Coturnix japonica: one gene and its partners. The protein of the gene in region 2 purifies or fractionates together with the protein of the main gene of each other region. This does not show direct contact. Links are inferred from orthologs where the notes say so. Each region holds a gene or a part of one and is shown on either strand. Other genes may lie near its edges. The genes, in order: GOLGA5, SLC6A15 and glycerol-3-phosphate acyltransferase 3.

Region 1 (7,295 bases), on a different chromosome or scaffold from region 2:
AATAAATTCTGCAGCTTATACAGTTACTTTAAAAGAAAAGAATAAAAAAGGAGTCCCTCCTCTGCCTGAGGTACTTTGTAAAGTATTTTACTGTTTGTTTTTATATTCACATCTGCTATATGTCATTTAGTGTAGCCTTGAATAAAAAGCTACTGTAGACATGCAAAAATACTCAATCTGAAATTTTTACCAGCCATCAGCTACAGACAGAAAGCAGCCAGGTTTCAAGCTCTTAAAGGCATTTATTCGTAACTATTTTGCAAGGAACTTTAGAAGGCAGAAAAAAAATAATTTCACACTTAATATTTGCTAGTATTAAGATCTAAGTGTCGGAACTAACTCAACTACATCACTTTCATCAACATGTGTGTTATTTTTGTAGTTGAAAAAGACTTCCCATTTCTCTCAGCTCATTATTTTGAAAACCAAGAATCATTTTGCCTAAGTCACACATGCAGATTTATCTAGGAAGTTTTTATTATAAATATACACTAACACAGAAATAGCATTGCTTCCCAGTTTACCAGTATTTTCACAGTATGTTACCAGTTTAGGTTCCGAACTACGATACCTTCCTGTGTTTCTTTGGATCTCTGAATTAATGAAGCCATTTCTTGATTTAAAGATTGCACTTCATTCCGCAACAGCTGATTCTCTAGACGAAGGTTGGACAGCTCATGTGATTTTACATCATCATTAGCTGAAAGGCCAGGATTAGTTACTGCACTTAGTGATGAATCCTTCGTGCCATCCACTTGTGTTCCCAGTCCAGAATCTGAGCTGTCTGGAGTTTCTGTACAGAGAAATACAAGTTAGAACTGATCTAACCATCTGTAGGTCTGTATCAGTGGTTGAATGCACTTAATCTAATTTTTAAAAGTCAAAATAGCTTATATATATATATTAGCTTATATATATTCATATATATTATTATATATAATAGCTTATATATATTAGAATATAACATATTTTTGTGTCAAACCTAAATAAGTTATTTGGCCACAGAGCTGTATGTTTTAGCTACCTTTATGTAAAAGAGTGTTTCAGGAACCTTCAGTTGAAGCATCATCTTACTGATGATTCTGCATCAGTAACAATTCTCTCAAAACATGCTTTTAATATTCACTTTTAAAAAGCAATATAGGAATTTCTGATGCAATCTGAACAGAACTCACTTGAAGGGGGAAACCTACAGCCCTTCCTCAGCACACACATGGTACTGGATTAGTGTTCTGAAATTAATGCAGCCACTCTAGCAGTGTTGATTGCTATGTGCAGGCAGCTGGAGGATTTGTACCAGTATTAACAGAAAGCAACACAGCACACAGTGAACAACCAAGCAAGCAATGCAAAAACATTCCTTCTGAATTCACTGTGCCCCAGATCGACAACTGTTGAAAATCCACAGGGACAGACTACAGCAAATTCAATGCCAGACCGCAGTTTAGCTGTCACAACACCATTTTCTTCGCTCTGTGATTATCAATCCACTCCACCTTCCTAGCTGCCACTGCAACAGGTTTCATGAGCCACAGCTCATCAAGGAGATGGGGCAGACTGGGAATTCCTCACAGCACACAACAAGTAATCACAGCGATTGAAAAATGTATTCCATGTTTTCTCCAGTCCCTTTCCTATTGAAACATTTTTAAGAAGTATTCCTTCCTTCCTTTTAATTCATTTACATACTTTTGAAATTATCAATCTATCTTCATTCCTTTGTCTGGAAAACATGAGAGTCCTATGAAGCTAATAAAGCTAAAAATATCAATTTATAGCAGATTGTATCCAATGCAACATAATACTATAACATTCATTACTTTTGTCTGTAACTAATGGACTATAATCTGTTTCAACAGTTGTTATGCAGGACATAGGAATGACTGATAATATAACTGACTTTGAAACTAGTGTGCCCAAACTCTACACGTTAATCATGTGCTTCCTCACTTAGCAGCTCCAAGATGCAAACTCCACTGAAAAATAAAATGTACCACACTGAGCAAAATAACTGTTCCCCAGGCATCAGCTATCAAGGTACAACATACTATATACCAAGCTCTGAACCACTTGATCTAGCTGTGGATGTCTCTGTTCATTGCAGGTGAGTTGGACTAGATGACCTTTAAAGGTCCCTTCCAACTCTGAGGATTCTACAAGTCAAAAACTGGCACAGTGCTCTACATGCAAACAATACTCTAGCTACACTATTAGAAATACAACTATTTGCTTCAATTTTATAGACAAAACAATAGTAAAGACTGGAGAGCCAGACAGAGAATAAAAGTTTCTAACAGTTTCATTCTCCTTAGCAGACGCTTGAGTTTTTAACCACTTGGCCTGGAAACTATTTCAGGTATCTGCAGCAATGCACTACTTCTGGCAAAAACTGAACTCTGCCTATCTCACTTTCTCATGCCTGCAGCTCAAGAGAAGCATACCCATTTTCCTACCATCCAAGCCAAAAAAGTTTGACAGCTCTCCCATCTTTGACAGCACAGCAGAGAGAAGCTCACACTGTACCAGGCAGGGCATTGGGTAACAGCTAGAACCATTTACCAGCTGTAACAAAAGTCACTTGCTCCCATATGTGACATCATAACAGGCAACAACCCCAGGCAAGGGAACAAATGCAGCAGTGCCAGAACCAACACTTCCAAGTGGGGATGCATGGGTGCTGATGCAGCATCAGACCACGACTAAGGCGGGATGAGTTGAGCAGTAGCAGTGAAGCAGATAAAGAACACAAAGCATTTAAGTGACAAGTGATATAACCTGCCAAATTACTGTAGTATCTATCATTATTCTAGTGATGAAAAATACTTCACACATGTGATATACTGCTGCCACCAAATCTTTCATGAAGTGACAAAAAATCCTTTACCTAGCCTTACACTACACATACAGGGGTGTAAAATATCTCTAGATTTAATATTATTAAACTACCATTGCTTTTGCCCTTGACAGAATTATCTTCAGTAGCCACTGCACTCTGTGTACCAGTAGATACAGAACTAATGCTTGAAGTCCGAGAGTGATTTTGAACAGGTGTCTTGCTCTTCTCTCTTTTAGAGTCCATCCTTGCATTAGGCTCTTTCTCAGAACTGTTGAGAAAATCAAACAGCAACTCATCATCGGGTTCAGACTTTTTTCTCCTCACAAAATGTGAGGAAGCTCTGGACGTGGAAACACTTTCTGCTGAAGAAGCAACTTCTGAATTTGTTCTACGCGCCGGTTTTACATTTGCTGTTCCTGCTAAGATTGTAGCTTTTTGGTTTTTAATGTTATCAGCTGCTGAGGAGATGTAGGCTGCTTTGGATGATGTCTGATATTTCAGTTCTCTGGCATGCGGGGACAATTCAGAATATTCACTGGCAGAGTCCAAGTTCTTGCTATCGAAAACTGCATTGCTTGGTGTGTCTTTTTTGTTCAGAGCCGATGCAGCTCCTTGATCAACTCTGTTGAGAAGATCCTCTGCCTTTCCAGCCAGATCAGCAAGCCAAGACATGATAAACGTCTGCTGATGAGCTCTACATCAAAATTTCAGGAACATATGCTGCAAAAGAGAATAATTTAAAGTCAGACAGGCATTGAGAAGGCAAGAAGTGTGGGTTACTGAAAAACTGCTGCATTCATCTATTATTGCTGTAACTACATTAACACTTTTTTCCTACCAGATTTGTATTTTGTTGTTTTTATGACAGATGGATATAAACCAATTTAGTTTCTTAACATAATATACAAAAACACATGGCTTTGCCATTAAGCCATGTCTGTTCCTAGCAGGTGCTGATGCAACCCGTAAGCCGACCTGCAGCGGTAATAGAAGATAAAGTCTATTTGCAACTGACAACAATCACAGTGGAGGAGGAAAACGTGTCAACCAACATATTACAGAAATAGATGGATGTACGATCTCTCATATGCCTGACCTGCAGCTTCCATCAGGTAGGTCAGAGGAAGGATCTTCCCTCAGAACTAACTGCTGCCCTGAGGTGCCGCTATGACAGCACAGGGGGACGAGGAGCACCTCCCCGGCACTCATAGCCCACGACAGGGCCCCTTTACCCAGAGCCGGCCTGCGGAGGGCCCAACCCGGATCCAGAACGGCGCAGCGGCCGTGAGATCCCGCCCAGGCCCCCACTCCCACCCGGCAGCCTTCAGGAGCTGCGGAGGCCTCAGCACAGCCCGGCCTCACCTCCTCCCAGCGCCAGGAACACCCCAGCCCGAGCAGAGCGGCAGCCGGAGCCCACTTCACAACACACGGCAAAGCCCGGCCCGGCACTGCCCGGCACTGCGCACCTTCCGGTAGACGTGGCCGCCTTCCGGGCCGCTCCGCACGCATGCCTGCTACGGGAGCAGGGCTGGGCCGGGATTGCAACGGGCGGGGATTGCAACGTGTTTCTGCGCTGTGCTGGCAGGGGGAGCTGCAGCCCCGCCGTGCGAGCGGTCAGGCTGTTACATGCAGCCCGGTGTCCTCTAGCTTTCCTTGGCCAAGTTGATGCTGTGTAGGAGAGCGATTGACAGGTGGCATCACCTGATTCTCGAAGGCAGCTTAAAACACCAAAGAACGCGGAACCAGTAGGATATAAACCCCTCCGCTCTGCCAGCACAATAAATGCAAATAACTGTGTTCTTCCATCCTCCTGACCGCACAAAACTCTTCCCAGAAGCCTCATGTCCAGACCCACACTCGTCCCCCTGCAGCAGCCTTTCCCGTATCCTCTTGCAGCAGTCTTTCCCACACGTTTATCCTGTATGATAACACCCAGATGGCCCCGTTTCTGCTGAGCTTCCTTGAAAGCAGTGCTGGCTCTTATTTGGATAACAGACATAAGATTGTCTTAATTATTTTCTTTGAAGATAAAGTTTACATTGGGTATTGTGACTAAGCTTAGAGGGGACAAGAGGTGAGGTCAGCTCAAGGGCTTCCCATCTCCTTGTTCAGATGTATAAGAGAATCTTAGGGCTCCCACTGGTAAAGAAATAACCTAAGCACTAAGTCCTTGTAATTTCCCAGTCTTCAGCTTCCTTTTCATTGAGAGACTTTTCTATGGTTTCTGTGTCTGGCACTGAAGTAATTTTTAGATAGTTTCAGTTTTTATTATTGGGTAAGTAGAAAAGTACACGTAACCCACAGGGTTGTTTCATTCATCTGTAACTTATTGTATTCATTAGCTAAAAGGGGAAGTGAAGCCCAAGGCATCTGTTTTGAGTGCTTAGCACGTGATGGTGAGTGAAGAAAACAAAAACTGATGATGATGATGATTATTATTATTATTATTATTATTATTATTTTGTGGAAAGCCAGATAACTGGTAGGTCAGTTAAGGCAAACATTAGAGAAGCCTATCTCAAGAATAGAGCTCATGTCACATTCAGAAGAGTAAGAATAGATTTTCCTTCACAATTGCTCCAGTCCTGTGTATAATACAGCAAATTCCTTAAACATGATGAGTTTACATATATTTACACTTAACAAGTAGGTTAAGGTTTTAATAAGTAAGTTATGCTCTAAGGGACAGTTTTTACAGTAATTGTCAATTATCATTTCAAGGTGAAACCTTTTGGTGGAGGTCAGATTTACACACAAGATCCTTCATGTTCTTTTCCATATACATATCAGATGGGGAGATAGTTTGATCAATTCCCATAAGTCACATTGCCCATTGGAGTAGTTGGTGACTAAAACAAAGGCATCTGGCCCTAAAAGTAGTTTTTATTTTTCCCATCTTTTCTTCTTGACAGGATAGTGCAAGGCCTTGGAAAAACATACTTAAGCTGCACTTACAGCTCCTGCTGTTTCAGATTCCTCTCTGTTGAGGACTTGTTCTTGTCCTGAGGTTCAGGAATATCCTCTGTTTTACAGAAGATTCCCTACATTTTATCATGATAATCTTTCCATATGGAATCCACAAGGTGTGGGAAGGTTATGTAGAGTTACATAGGACAAAGGTTCCAAAATGTTCATTAGCAGATATGAATTATCAATTTTCATTAAGCTTCATTAGGATATAAACTGAAGGAGGAGATTATCTGCCCTGCTACCTATTCAGAACATACAGAGCTCAGTTTTGAGAGTTAATAGAAAATCCATCCTACCTCATGACAGATTAAGCAACACTGTGGAAGCAATAAACCAAATCAGTTCACAACCTTTAAGTTCTACATCATGTGACTCAGTATGCTGGATATAATCACTGTTTCCATTTAATGTGCATTTATTACCTCCTCAGATACTACTTAGAAAAAAGGATTTCAGGCCCCAGCAGAAGTCATGTTATCCTAAAGTAGGAGGGAATAAAAAACTGTAAAGTATCTTCTGTTCACATTCTATTTAAAACTCTGTCAAACAAATGCCTTGTTTTTAAGTGTCAACAACTGATTCTAAGCATCCTGTGCCTGCTAGGCTGAGTGATGAGAATGAGTGTTTAACTGTCACAGTGTCCTGTTACATTATTAGACAACTATCTATCTGGCACAGAGCCTTTGTTTCATCCAGGATATAGAAAATATACCAAATATCAAAGATTGGGGGAAAAAAATGTGATAATCACTGCATGCGTTGCCATTCAACCTTTCATTTATTCTCAAAGTGGCCTCATGTCATTGTCCACTTAAAGGCATCTTTGAATAAAATGGGATGAGCACTCTCATAAGTCTATGTATCAGTCATCTATGGATTTCCACGATTGTATGGGCAGAGAAATCAAAAACTGCAGGAAGAGCTAAGGTGGAAAGTCACTGCTCCTTACTGGAAAAACATGCTGAATCCCTTCCTGCAGTGTTCTCACTACCTTATTTCCTTTTACTCCATATGCAAATAACAGGGGTAATTTATTATTCTTCAAATGAGGAACAAAGCCAGCCCTCTAGACAGACACTGAGAGAATCATCAGAGTTAGAAGACCAAAAGTCATTTAAAAAGCAGAAGCTTTTAGAATATGAAGTCTGGAGAGTTTGAGGATTTTGGAGGTTTATTTACATTCAGCCTTTCTTAATTTGAGTTCATTATTTGTTGAAAAGAACCCAGAATACTCATAACTCTGCTAGGTTGGTACTCAACTTTCCCTACCAAGAGCATGAAAATCAACATAAAGAATGAAAAACCAGTAACAGTTCTCTTAATACTTTTTTGACAAATGAAAATACACACAAACATTCCACAATACAAACATTCAAAGGAATGTAACCCTGTCTACCTCTATTACATCTGGCTTTTCTCACAGTTACTAATTCAATATTGAAGACATTTCTCCTTTTTCTTTCTCTGTCTCAGTAAAGATATATTTTCC
Region 2 (7,239 bases):
TGAATAAAATGTACTTTAAATATGAAGTCTACAATACAGAAAATGAAAGACTAAATTTTAGGAGCCAAAGACTGCTGTGAGTCTGCAATAAGGAACTGGGTATCTGGTGCCAACAGGATGGGGAGAATAGCTGATGATAATACTTAACTGAGAGAAAAAGAATACTATAGGAACAAAGCAGGTTTTGTGGGAGTACTGAACTCACTAAGAATGGTTATTGCTGGAGAATCTGTGAACAGATAATTATTTCAGCAAGAATTACAGAAAGCACTTAGCAAACTGAATCAGTGTTGCAATGTAGCATTATGACTTCTGGTGGAAACAAGAATATGCAACACAGTCTTTTAGTCCAGTCAAGTCTATTTCATCTATGCACTCCAGGAGTCATTATTCTGCTCTTCAGTATAAATTACATGACCTAACACTTTGTCCTATCTGGTTGAGTGCAGTAGATTCAAAAGCTATCTAGCTCAATTACAATAAATATTCTATAAAATGAAACTTACATTTATCTGCATTCCATAGTGATTCTGAGTCATGCTAATATACATTACACTTCTTTTGTTCGTTTGTTTCTCATGTCTGTAAAGTTAAATCATTTAGACCATAGCAGAAGTATTTAAATACACAAGATTAAATTCAGACCTGATGTAAATATGGGTAGTTACATACTTCAGTGACACAGGGTCTGCTTAGAATCACTGGGAAATTTGTTCTCAGTTCCTACAAAATGGTCTTATTGTTGTGCATCAAGAATTCACCAACAATTTCCTTTCCAGACTAGTCTCCTCCAGTTACTGGAAAATGTCTTCTACAGTCAGAAGAAAAACACAATATCTTAACAGAAAAAGTAAGATTTGCTTCTCAGAATTGTTCAATTTCTTCAGCATCACTGGGTGAAGAAAAATATCTGAGAGAGAAGGTTACAACCCAGGCCTCTTAAACAACATTTTATTTCTTTCCACTTCACACAGTCTCTGAACTTTATTGGTCCTACAGTAGTTTATCACCAGCTTTCATGTGCTTCTCAGTATTTTCTTCTCACAAATCAACCTCACTGAAATGCTTAACAGAATTGCTGGGCATGTTCTCTGTAATTTCCTATTCAGCTGGAGAAAACTATCACTTATCCTGATTGGTTTATTGAAGAATCAAATGTAGTAGCTACCACTCTTCCAGCTTGTTGCATGAAGTAATGCTTGCAGTTCTGAAGGTAACAACTTTTAACTGGAAAAGTGTGATAGCCTTAATGGTTGGCAATGTGAAACAAAATCTCTGTTTTCTAAACTAACCATATAAGCCACAACACAACCATGATTTTCTTATAAAACCTTATCTCACACTTTTGAGATGGGAGAGGATATGAAAATATCTCAAATAATTAATTCAAGAACTGAAGTTATTTAAGTTGAAAAAGTCAAGTATTGAAAATTAGACATTTTCCTTCTGTGCATCTGAACTGATCAATAAGTAAATCAAGTTGTCCTTGGGGAAAATAAATAAATAAATAAATTATATTCACTTTTTTCCCTGCTTTCTATACATAAGCTGTATATATGTATATATATGTATATGTATATATGTATATATGTGTATATATATGTAAACTGTATGTTAGCAGAAATGCTGCTTCTCCTCAAAACAAAGTGTTTTATTAATGATATAAATCATGCTTTCAAATTAAGTTAGAGTAAATCCCTGAATATAAAAAGAAAATATTTAATTGAAACTCCATTATAGAAAATTCAAAACTATAAAGTCCCTATTCCAGTTTCTCATCCCTTCTCCATTTTAGCATAAGAGTATGCTGAATCATTAGCGCTGCAGTACACATTTCTGGTACTTGAAATAGTAATATCATTTGCCAGCAGTAAAAGTCAGTTTTCCCAAAATGGGAAAAAGACCACTGGTACCATGAACTAAATTCAAGGCCTTACTGTACACAGCATTATACAGCCTTGTTCTTTTATCTTTTCCATACAGCAAATAAGGAACTGCTAGTCTCAGAGTGAAGAATAAGAACAAGGATTTCTGTTTCAATGCAGGGTTCTGGGAAACTCAGCCCAATTAATCCCATTCTCTAAAAACTCTTCTACCAGTTACCACTGATATTTCATCCTATTTTGTATGAACTTCTCAGGTTTTCAATATCTAGCTGTTTGAAAGAATAATGTTCAGTTATCATTATTCACTGATAAGTTTTCCTAGAACATTTCCTGAGTAATAACGGCAAGGCTACTTGAAGAAAAAGAGAGCTCCTGAAGTTTTGGGATGCCACCTGCTGATATGTCAAAGTTCTTCTACAACCAATTGAAAATTTAGAGATCACATAGAAAAGCCGCTTCTAATATTATTCTCTTTTACAACTTTTTGTTTGCTGATATAGATAGTTTATGATTAAACTGTTCTTCCAAAAAAAAAAACAAAACAACTCAATAGATATCCTATATTTTGGAGCAAGATTATTATTCCTTGATGTGAGTGGAAAAGTGTAGTGGAGAAAAGCAAGCTGGGGACATGGGTGAGCACACATAAATCTGTGGATGTTCTTAGTTGCGCACTAGAGGTTTAGAGAATAAATTCTGTCTTCTTGAGAATATTTCTACCACAAACCCTTCCCTAGAGATTTAATTCCATACTACCCCCACAGCAACTACCCCAATGTACATTAGCAAAGCAATTTATAACAAAAGGATTAGCTTTTATTAGTTGATTGCATGTTTCTTGCTGTTATCCCCCAAAATATATTTCTGAATGACCTGTGATTTATTTATTTTTTCTGATAAATTCAACATTCTAAAATTTTTGTGTATACAGCCTTTTGCAATATACGGCAGACCAAAGAGTTGACAGATCATTCAAACTATATGGTCTTCATCTGCACTACTACTTTTTTGCTCGCTCGCCTGTAAGAAAAAAAAATAAAAGCTGTAAGAATGACAAGACACTGGAGGTCAACAGGAATCAGCTTAGCCCGCAAAAGCAGTTTTAACATGCTTTAGCACTTCTTCAATTTCAGAATTGGTTGAACACCCAAATAGCAATTAAATTGCTTGGTTTTTCATCTATAGATCAAAACCATTGGAAATATTTCTTCTTGAATCTGAAGTGCCTAACTGAGGCCAAATGAAATTTTTGATAAGCAAATGCAGACTCATGCTGTAATTCTTATGTTGTCTTAATAAGGTCTTGGTGTAAATTTATTTCTTTTATTTCTTATTATCCAAGAGAGAGAGAGAAAAAAAAAAATAACCTACCTACATATTTGGTAAAGTTTCCTTTTTAAAAAGATACTGATAATGTGTATCTGAAAAACACAATGCTCAATAGATTAAAATAAATAAACAAATAAAGAAATAAATATTGGCATTGTTTTCTATTAAGTGGAGAAAGCAGAATAATAGATGGATAATACATCCAGTGCATATGAACATTGCATCAGATAAGTCAATGAAATTTTTGTTTTCTTCATTTATACTCTCCTTTGGAGTGGAGAGCAGATTTGGATCTCCATCCTACAGCATGTAACAGCGCCATATTTGTGGTGCCTTACTGTTTAAAAATAATTAAGGTTCTCCTAGAAATCAATACTACGGCAGTGAGTTTGATACACAGCAATATCACACAGACAAAAATAAAATGGCTGATAAGGACGAGGTCTTGGCTACAGTATCTTTTAAAAATAAAACAAAGCACAAACTACTGAAACATAGTAAATTCCATTGCAACATCTCAACTTGCAAATCAGTGTGATGGAGCAGGCATCACATTTACTTCCACAACAAAAGCAAAGCATCGCAATTAAATCCCAGTTTACCCTAATGCAAACGTGAGCATGGGAAATTTAAGATTTAATAAGAGATGAGATTTTAAAACTTGGAAGAGAAGTGCGGGCATCAATCTGTCACGCTGTGGATTTTGCAGAGGGCTGCAGTCATTACAAGCCCCTAAAGAAAATACCCTCCAGACGCATGGAGGCTGAGAAAAGGTCCTCATTACCATACCCACCCAAACATGGCTGACACCGGGGCGCGCCGGTCCTGCGCCTGCCGTTCTGCTCCGGCCACCGCAGCCGAGGGATGCGGGATGCGGGATGCGGGGAGCGCTGGGAGGATCCGCGCCGCTCTCCGCGGGCGACGCCCGATACTCAGCGACAGCAGCGCTGCGCAGCCAGGCCCGAGCCCTCCTCCGCCCGGCTCCTGCAGCGTCAGGGGCTGCGGAGGGGACAAGAAGATGATGGGTGCGACTGGCACATCTCTGCCCCGCATCCGCAGAAACCCGGAGGCAGCCGCTTGCAGAACGCCGCGGACCTTGCCATGCAGCCGCCCCCCGCCCCACTTCTGCTACTGAAACTCGCGCTGAAAGTAGTGTACGTCACATGCGGGAGATGAATGAATGAATGAATTTTTTTGTCACTCGTGGTACGAAAAGAACGTATATCCTCTGTTAAGAGTAAAGAAAAAAAGAAAAAATAATAAAAAAACGAGAGAGGGAAAGGAAAAGCGCACCTAACATCTTTGCAACCCACCGCTGAGTTCAAACACATGCGCGGCTTCCAGTGGGCGCTCGCTATTGTCTCCCGAGGGGCCGGCTCTCTGCTCGCGGGGCCGCAGGAAAGCGGGCATCGAGCGCAGGGCACCCCGCTCCGCTCCCCGCCCGGCGGCACAGACCCGGGGACGAGCACGACCGACACGCCCGCCGCTCTCCGCCGCGCCATCGGAGCCTCCGCCTTACCTCCTCCACCCACCGACAGCGAGAAGGAGCCGTGTGCCCTCACGGAGCAGTGTGCGGAGCTAAACGGGCGCGGGGCTCAGTAGCGGAGAGACAGTGACGGCGCGCACATGTGCCCAACCCTGGCTGCGGCGGCGGTGTTTAAAGACAGACATAAAAGCGGCGGGGGGAGTGCAAAGGGGGAGGGCGGTGGTGGGCCGGGGGAGCCGCACCTCCTGACGCAGGGAAGAGCCCCCCCCGCCTCCACCGCCCGCAGCAGCATCTCCTGAGCTGGAGGCGGGCGGGGAGGGGCGGAGGAGAAGGGAGACGCCCCCCACCTACTCGCCCTCTTGCCGGCGCCGCCGGGGCCTACTCGCAGACCCGTACCCATGTGCTTCATGCGTGGGCTGCGAGGGGCCTTAGGGTAAGGGTACAGGGGAACGGGCCGGGAGGAGACCCCCAGGTGGTTGTGCAGAAGAGTGAGGGATGCAGATCTGAGGAAAGAGCAGGCAGTCAGGGAAAGGACTGCAGCAGAACGGCTGCCGTGGGTCCATCTTCGGGCTGGAGGCCGGGATGCACACTACAGATAGCACCAACAAGGGCTGCTCGTGGTGGTGAAGAAGTCTTGTAGCGCTAGTTTTCATTGCTGCCACAAACAGCAGCAATGTGGGGGTGTGAAATTGAGACATTTATCTTTATTTACCCTGTAAGCTTCCTATCACTAAGTCTGTCCACTGGCCTTGTTCTGTTTTGCTTGTTTGCAAGCATTTTTCTCAAAAAAATGTTCATCAGTTCTGGTTAGGAGGAAGACAGATGATAACGGATGGAAAGGAAACTGCTTAGAGGCACACAGCTGGCCTAGGAAGGCAGGTTTGCTCTGCTGAAGAAGGGCGCAATGGAATGGAGAATGAACTCTTTTAGAGTTCACTGTGAATTAGTGCAACAATAACTGCAACAATTTAACACATGTTGGAACTGAATAGAACTTCCCTACACTGCCTGAATCATGGAGAGATATTTCTTCAGTGTTGCAGTCTCTCTAGCTGACCTGAATGTTTAGTTGAGAAAGGTGTGGTGCGAACTTCTGTTCATATTTCTACCTCATTATCAGAAGCAGTTTGTCGCTGTGTGGTATGTTCCTCATTGTTAGTACATTTTAATAAGAATTTCAAGAAGCAGTGTTTGAGTTGTGTGCAGAAACAGTTCTGTAAACAATGTATTCTGTATTCTACATATATTTACAATATGTTTGATTAAATTTATTTTTGGTTTTGTCTTTTTTCTTTGAGTGTGACAAGGCACTGGAACAGGTTGCCTTAGAGTTGGTGGATGCCTCATCCATAGTGAGTTCAAGGTCAGGCTGGATGGAGCTCTGAGTAACCTGATCTAGCTTTAGGTATCTATCCATGCTCACTGCAGAGGAGTTGGATGAGATGACCTTTAAGGGTCCCTTCCAACTCAAACCATCCTGTGATCAGATACTATTTGGAACTCAGTGATAATGAACTTTCCTTAAAGAAGTTCTAAATGTAAACCAAACTTCTTTATACTAAGCATCAATAAGCAGAAGAATTTACATGTTCTACTACCACATGATAAGAATTAGGCTTTTTTTTTTTTTTTTTTTTTTTTTTTTTTAAGATTAACTGATAATGTTATCATATGATCAGCTTATTGCCGCAGAAAAAGGTCATTCCTGGATCTTTTTGAATTCTGTGTACAGTTAATGATGAGCTCAGATCTGTAATCATATTGTCAGTTATCTGATGACTAATTTTACTGTGAGAAAGGCATCGTTCAATTTCTGATGTCCATCAAACAGATCATCAGTTACTTACCTTTTCTTTCAGCAACTGCAATTCTGCTAATAACATTTTAATAAGCAAATACAAAATATCACAAGGGTAAATGTTCAGCAGTATTTTCCTCTTCAGACTTTCTGCAACCCAACAACTTACATTCTGAATAGATGGGCTAGGGCACTTTTACTGCAGCTCTTCTAAGTAGGATACTCTTGCTGCAGATCTTGCCATCACATTTTTCATCTTGTTATTAAGTTCGCTGAAACTTAAAACAGTCATCTTCAAATCTCACTCTGATTCAATCTTGAAAGAGGAAATATTTCCATCTTCAAAACTGTAGAAGTGAGTGTGTATAAGTGACAAAAATATACAAAAGTAGCTTGCCATTTTTTTCTTGCCATGTTTTTAAGCACTAGAAGCCATTGATAGATGAAAATATTGAGAGTAACCCTTTACAATGTTGAGATACATTGTAGGCTAATCTATCATTCTGTAAGCCAAGTGACTATGCATATAGAGAGAATGCCTCATTTGCTGTTCAAACTTGATGCATCTGCTCTATCTGTGCTGGCAACTCAGGAGATCTGAGGACAGAAAGAGTCTGAGTGAGAAGCAAGAAAGGCCAGCATGAAAAATGTCCTACAGTAAAACTGCATTTTGTTGGATGTAAGCAAGTCTAAAAAGAAAACAATAAATAAATAAAATTGCTTAGAAATCATATTTTTAT
Region 3 (7,235 bases), on a different chromosome or scaffold from region 2:
CAGAAAGCCAAGCAGCCACAGCAGGCCATCTTCCTTTCTTGTTCCTTTCTCACACTTGAGACTTCGGGTGCTTATCAGGACTCAGCTTTACCAGCTGCTACTGCAAACTGGTTTCAAATCCTATTAGCTCTTTCTCCCAGGTCTGTCAAACTTCCAAAGACCAGGCACGTGCCAGCAACCAAGCAGCAAGACTTGATTCTAACTCAAGTTTACTTAATGTAATCATGCCACTTATCCTCAGGCACTTGAAATAAAGTGCTGGCTTTGACAACACTTCTAACTTTGATCAAGTGAGAAGCTTGTTTATATCCAACTTGGAAAACAAGAAGCACCACACGCAGCTATGTGAGTCATTTTCCTTCCTCCTTGCCAGCTGGTGATCTGCACCATCCATTGCGACTTCAGCTGTTTCCTATCCTAATGCCCAGCTTCACACCACAAAGAGCTTTCACTACGTAATCTGACTCATCTCACAGAGAGGAAAATACCGCGTGCGCATACTAGAGATCAAAAAGCATCCTGAAAGTCAAGTACGGGCTCAGTTTTCTCAAGCAGATGAGCGAAAAGCCACATGGCAGGTTTCATCCATGTACTGCATTAACACTGACATGAGTGTAGGTGCTGAGTAGGCAGCCCAAGGCATCAGGTGCAGACCTAAGCCTTCACCAGGGACATGGGAGCCAATTTTGGGAAGAAGCATAAAACATCAGATTCTTCAACGTTAAAAATAAGTTGTGTATCTCGTGCTAATTGTTGAACTAGTATGTAAAGCTAAAAATCAGCACAGTGATAAAGTATGCATATAACGCAGATCCAACTCGGTAATGCTGCCATTCATGCTGCTCAGGGCTAATTAGCTTGTGTGCTTTAGTCACACACACTGGCCTGAAGATACCATGCTACATCTCACCAGATAAGAACAGCCTACCAGCCTTCCCTTCAGAACGTCGCCACCTCTTCCTGATAGGAAAGGCTTTTAAGTTTCCAACCCCTGAAAAAGAAAGCACCACACACAGCAAGCCAACAGCCTGTAGGAGATAGTTAAGTGACCTACAGGGGTCATGCAGTACTCAAAAAAAGCCCAATTAGACTTCAGATGCAAAAATAACATCTTAAAATATCGTCTCTGGTTTAGGAGTCGTGTTCACTGATTACTGAAGAGAGATTACCGAACTACTGCAGCTGAATGAAATCCCAAGTCATAACGGTGTTAGAATCACTGCTGTTCCTTTATTTAAAGAGGCTGGAAGGTTACACTCAGCACAAAAGCTGACGTGCTAGTTTAGGTGATCACTCCTTCCTGGAGGCCTTCCAAACCTCAACAGCAACAGAGATTTGAGAGCACCTCCCACACAATGGGAGGCAGGAAATTCTGTGTAAACGAAAACAGCCCTGCAAAAAAAGGAGCAATCATTTCAGAGGGAGGGTGAAAGGTTCCCTGGTTATCTACATTATCTTTTCCTCACCCTCATGAGATGTCTTCGTCATTGCCTCCAAACAGGACAACATAGTCCAGCTTTACAGGAAAGAAGGGGGATCTGCAACAGAAATGCTAAGTAGCTTCTTTTTTACCAGCTCCATGCATTATAACCTTAAGGCAAGATGTGGCTAGAGCTGCTGCTCTTTGTAAGCAGCATTTACTAATTAACAGCATCAGAAACACTGTTGCTCATTTTGCTGTGAAGTCAGGAGCAGTTTCAGGTCAGTGTTGTTGACCAGGAAGATGTTGAATTAATTATTGATACAACCCCTGTGGAGGGTAACCCCAGCTCTAGTAACCTGACCTGCATACAAGCAGCCTTCATTATTAAATCTGTTGAAACCACCCATAAGGACCTGCATAGGACTAGGGCAGCTGAGGTACTTAATTAACATAGCCAAAGAATTGAAGATTTTGCAGTAGATGTGCTAAAACACTTTTCCAGAAGCTATTTCTGGCCTGTCAGCAAGGGTGCATCATCCCTATCAGACTTATCTTCAAGAGCTGCTTTCCATTAACTTCTTCCCCTTCAGAGCTGTCCTCTTAGGTCAGAGTTCTCCACCCAACAGCTCTCAAACAACACCAACTACAACGATACAAAGACCTTCAGCAATGCTGTTAGACATCACTAGTCAGCAAAGGTTGCTTAAAGAAGTCAATTAATTCAACATGAATCAGCAGTCCCACAGTGATTCACAGATTTATAGGCTATGTATTTCCCCTTTCCTTTACTCGCCCTTACACTTAGCACTGCAAGACATAGCTCCTAATCCCAATGGTGGCTTAAAGAGCCAAACTGACACCTGGAGAACTGGGAAAGGAAGACACCCCATCCTACATGGCAAGGACCTACTGTTTGACCAATAGCACCAAAACACCCTTGTTGCCCTAAGGTATATTCTCAACTTTAGGTCCTCTTGGGTAGCTGCAGTGATCTCTAAAGCAAGCACCTTTGCTTCATAGCTACTGTTACACCCTTGCTCAGTGAAAGTGCATTCCCTGCCTGGCAGCATAATAAGCGATTAGAAATTGCTTCTGTTACCAGGGGCCACAGTTACATAATGTTAACACACCTACTACTCCAAGTATCTGCTACGAGTTACCACACTACAGGAGAAAGTAGCGTGGTACTCAAAAGCCCCAGAATTGGAAAGCATTAATGGAGGGGAGCATATGATTGAGACCAGGAAGGAAAGATGTACAAAATTAAAAGCTGGAAGCAACCTGGGGGTGTTTAGACAGTACAATACTCTGGGTTCAATCAACACAGCCCAACAGAAGTACATACTCAACACTGCTGTCTGTACATGCTTAGAATAATGCTCCTCGCTAAGGCAGCTCAGCATGGATAAGAAGCCATTGTGCACCAACTGATCTCCCTCGTCAGTAGTGTCATACCACCAGAACACTTTGATCCTTAAAGCTTTTCCTCTCCCTTTCCTTAGGCCATGCCTGCAGCATGGCAAATAAGCATCACCCCTTCTGAATCAAGTGTAAACAGATCTGTTTCTATAAGCAGACAAAAATACTGTCTCAAGTTCAGCACCATTCTCGCCTTGCTCCATACCACAGCCTCAATGAAAACTGCATGCCACAGGCTCATGTTTGTCTGCCACATTACACATTAGTGTGGATTAGCAGATATACTACATGCTTCAGACTATCTTGTTACTTGGTTCCCAAACTCCAGTGTCCAAAATGACAGAGCTAGTCCCTTGTAACAGATCAGCTCTATCAAAGCACATACATTACCTGACAATACAAGCTGTGCAGAAACGTAGCACCACAAGAGAGGACCATACACAGCCAAAGCAGAGTAACACTATACTTCACAAACAGCAATAGTTCCTTCAATCCAGCCCAAAGAGACAATAGAGGCTGCAGATGTGCAAAGTGCTCTACAGGCCCAAGATCCCACCACTATCTTGGCAAAGAAGAGGGGTTGGCCAGGAGATCCAAGGCTGGAACTGAAGAGGAAGCTGTCAAGAGAACCACTGCAAGGAGTCTCGCTTGTTCAAAACTGCAGCATCCTATGACTCAACACAGCCACTGCTCAGCAGGAAGCCCACAGACTGAATTCAACAGCCAAGGAAGTTTCAGGCAGCACAGCTGCACAAGGCTAACAGCCCTATATTCCCCACGTTCCGTTGTTAACGTTATTTCTGGCACAGAAAAGTCAGATGTGACAATACCTATCTCCAGGGGCTCTTGTAGGCACTACCTGGACCTGGCTCTGTGTCAAGCTGCTGAGCAAGGCGTAGCTGTGAGCCAAGGAACGGGAGACATTTCTCAACAACAGGCCAGCTGCGAGACGTTCTCTCCACGCACACGTTCTGTGGGAGAGGACAATCCACATCTCAAGTTCACCTTGATTCATCTCAGCAGGACGAGTCAGTTTGCTCAGGAAACGAAGCACAGCCCAACCTGGCCGGCTCAGAACCTCACAACCTCAGCCCGGATTGGGAACGGCTACTCTTCACCCTACACCAGCATAAATCTGCCTAAGGCCTCCAGAAAGCACTTAAGGCACGGAAAGCCTTAAAACGTATCCACGGCAGACACGCCCAAGAGCCATCGCTGAAGGACGGGACGAAAGGAGGCAGCACCCCCGGCACAGCCACAGGCCGTACCCGGCCCGCCATGGCGGCCCCACGCCCCCCGCCCCGGGTCAGCGAAGGACGGGCGGGCCGCCTACCTCCAGGGTCTTCACCAGCACCCACATGTAGGCCTCGGAGATGCCCAGCGAGATACCCAGCGCCGAAGGCAGCACGATGAGGGTGATCACCAGACTCAGCCACGCCATGCCCAGCGACAACGCCAGCGAGCCCAGCTCCTCCATGGCGGCGAGCGCCCGCCGGCACCTCCGGCACTGCCACTATCGCCGCGAGCGCGGGCGCCGCCGCCCTAAGGCCGTACGGCCCTACGGCCCGCCCCAAGGCCGTACGGCCCGCCCCAAGGCCCGCCCCCTCCGCACCGCACCGGCACCAGCGCGGTGTGCACGAAACGGGCGGCACCGGGCGGACCGGCCGCGGCATCACGACTGATCGGCTGCAGGGGGCGCGAGGAGAAGGAGAGCACGGAGGTGTCTGCATGGCGGTTGGGGACACAGGGAGCAGGGGGGACACGAGGAGACCGCTCCTCTGTGACAAAGGAGAATGCGTGTGGTTCTTCCATTCCACTTGCCTTAAGGAAGCATGTAACACATCACACCCCCCCCACAAGTTATCCTTGCTGCTGTACCAAAATTATCAGCCTCTCCTTCACTGTCTCTGTGACTGCTCACATCCTACCCCCACCTCACTTATGCTTTTGGAGGCTACAAACAATTCCAAATCCTCTTCCTCCTTTGACATCTTAAACGTGACACTCCTGGCCAAAATAGCACCTGAAGAACATTGCTTTGGCATTTCTACTCTATGCCATTCCAGCGTTGAAACATTTCTATCCTTTATCAACAATCTGTGTTCCTTCTGACTTTTCTCATCATTCCTCAATGTGAAAAATATATCCACACATGGTACCACAGCCCATTTTTCTTCCCTTCTATAAAATAACATTAGCTGTAGAACAGTATTATCATTAAAAGTTTGATTTTCTGGCCATTTTTGTTGAGCTTCCAAAGTATACATTGGCTGCCATCAATTACATACATTAGTAATTTTTCTTATGAAACAGATCCCATTCCAACTTTCCCCAGTGTCCCAAATGGCAGTGCCTTAGGTATTCCAATGTTGACAATTATCCAAGCATTAGCTATCAAAATACATTTTAAAAACATAATGATTAACTTAAGAATACACACATTCTTTCCCATACCTGTATCACCTGGAGCCAAGTGAGTTGCTTGTGCACAAAGCCAGAAGGCAGCTTGGGTCAGAAACAACAGGGTGTTGTTCATAATATAACACCCCGTAGAGCTACATTCAAAATTCACGTTCTCTTTTTTCACCATCAGGAAGACAACCATGGCCTTTATTCTTTACCCATGAATGTTCATTGCTGATGCAAATGGAGAATGCCAAGGGGGTTGGTTGGTTTGTTTATTCAGAGCATTGAGAATCTGGAATCTCTATCCTAAGGACAGATGTAGAAAAGTAGCAACAGCGTAACTTGTCTTGCTCCCCAGGTCAATAATATAGACATACCTGTGCAGTATGAGGGTTTTTTTTATTGGCTGACAGAACCTTAAAAATTAAAAGCAATGGATGATTTTTATCCATCCTGAGCACTTGTTAGCCAGGGTTCTCGTAAAACAAAAAGGTTGAACTCAATACAGTGCATGCCACACCAAATTCTGGAGTGAGGGGGCTGAGATCCGTCCATGTCCCTGAAACATCAGAGGAAAATCCTCGAGGCCTCTTCTTATAACATTCATCATAGAATTACCCAGGTTGGAAAAGACCTTGAAGATCATCAAGTCCAACCGCAGCCTAACTATAGTACCTTATCTTATATCATGAGGAAATAAGGTGTTACTTTCCTACTAAACAGCATGTCTGTTTTTACCTACCCCTGTTCTGGCTGGCATCAGACGTATTCAGACATCTGCAGACTCCATGAGCAAACAGTAGGGAATGCACAGCCTCCACCATTTGTTTCTTACAGCATGGGAAGATCACTATTTTGATTCTTGCTGTTACAGAAGGATAATGGGGAATAAAACGCTGGTGAAAAGAAATACTAACAGGCTCCAGTTTCAGGTGCCCACACTGAAGCAAGGCTGAACACATAAACAGAACCTACTGCATCCAGGTTTCCACTGTACTCTTAAATGAATAATTCACAAGGATATTAATGTTAAATTGGAGAAAAATCAATTTCCATGGTGAGCTGCTCAAAGAACCATTTTCTCTGCCTGGCAGAGTGTGTCTGGTAATGTGACATCCTCCTCTTAGTGACAAAGCTGCCAGCTCCTGGCGTGAACGTGCTCAAGTGCTTTCTTTCAATTCATCTTGCACTCCCATCAAAGGACAGCTAGCAAAAACTGTTGACTTACTTAAAGGAAAAATAAATTACTGTCGTTGCCAAGTGGCCTTTGCCTCTTTAAGAAAAAATATATATATATATCCAGCTGTTATAAACCACTGATCATTTATCTACTGATAAATTAGTTTAAAATTCATTCCATCATTCCATTTTGTTTGTCTGTATGTACTCCATGAGAACATGCAGTCCTACTGCCCCACTCCTGCTTTTTTCTTTCAGGTATTGTAACCATACTTTCACATGAACATGGCAGCATCATTCCACCAAAGACTCAGAGAGTGCACTCACGTTAACAGTTTTCAATGGTTTCATTTTCTGAAGGCCTATTTTATGTGCAAAGACTACACACAGTCATACTTTCTAATGCAATCCTCACACTTTGACTTCTGCCATGAAGCACAATACATGCAAAGAAGTGCAGAAGTTGAAATTAAATGCTCTAAGTTGATCTAAACCAGATGCTCCAAATGAATCCAAAAACTGCAGAGCCTTTTAATTTATTTCTTTTGGCTGTACTTATTGTATCCTACTTGATTATCAGTCCCTGTAGAGTCTGGCTCTGGGGTGTGTAACTGCAAACTTGGTTTCCAGAATCAGAGCAATCCCACTGAAGTATCTGGACAGCATTGTCTCCTTAAGCATTGCTAAGTTATTGTACATATTATTGGCTGCTGGTGGGTCAGATCTAGTAAGCTTTTTGCTTGTCTGCTGTCACTGGAGCCAGCAGCTTCAGAATATCAAACAGTAGGTATCTGTATTCTTTTAGAAA

What was found.
Region 1: the proteins of SLC6A15 (region 2) and GOLGA5 purify together in Homo sapiens (co-immunoprecipitation; 3 studies listed by BioGRID and IntAct, counting the BioPlex papers as one, with this or other methods). This does not show direct contact. The link is inferred for Coturnix japonica from reciprocal best matches to the Homo sapiens genes SLC6A15 and GOLGA5.
Region 3: the proteins of SLC6A15 (region 2) and glycerol-3-phosphate acyltransferase 3 purify together in Homo sapiens (co-immunoprecipitation; 3 studies listed by BioGRID and IntAct, counting the BioPlex papers as one, with this or other methods). This does not show direct contact. The link is inferred for Coturnix japonica from reciprocal best matches to the Homo sapiens genes SLC6A15 and GPAT3.

Annotation. Positions count from the first base shown.
Region 1 is NC_029520.1:40,659,072-40,666,366, reverse strand, and holds the start of GOLGA5 (golgin subfamily A member 5), read right to left. Parts: upstream 4,391-7,295; 5' UTR 4,303-4,390; exon of another isoform or gene 4,199-4,302; intron 4,066-4,198; exon of another isoform or gene 3,933-4,065; intron 3,557-3,932; 5' UTR 3,509-3,556; coding exon 2,947-3,508; intron 794-2,946; coding exon 572-793; intron 1-571. UniProt on the Homo sapiens protein: Involved in maintaining Golgi structure. Stimulates the formation of Golgi stacks and ribbons. Involved in intra-Golgi retrograde transport.
Region 2 is NC_029516.1:37,874,896-37,882,134, forward strand, and holds the start of SLC6A15 (sodium-dependent neutral amino acid transporter B(0)AT2), read right to left. Parts: upstream 4,847-7,239; 5' UTR 4,735-4,846; intron 4,622-4,734; exon of another isoform or gene 4,509-4,621; intron 4,215-4,508; exon of another isoform or gene 4,009-4,214; intron 1-4,008.
Region 3 is NC_029519.1:41,398,444-41,405,678, reverse strand, and holds the start of glycerol-3-phosphate acyltransferase 3, read right to left. Parts: upstream 4,408-7,235; 5' UTR 4,320-4,407; coding exon 4,176-4,319; intron 1-4,175. UniProt on the Homo sapiens protein: Converts glycerol-3-phosphate to 1-acyl-sn-glycerol-3-phosphate (lysophosphatidic acid or LPA) by incorporating an acyl moiety at the sn-1 position of the glycerol backbone.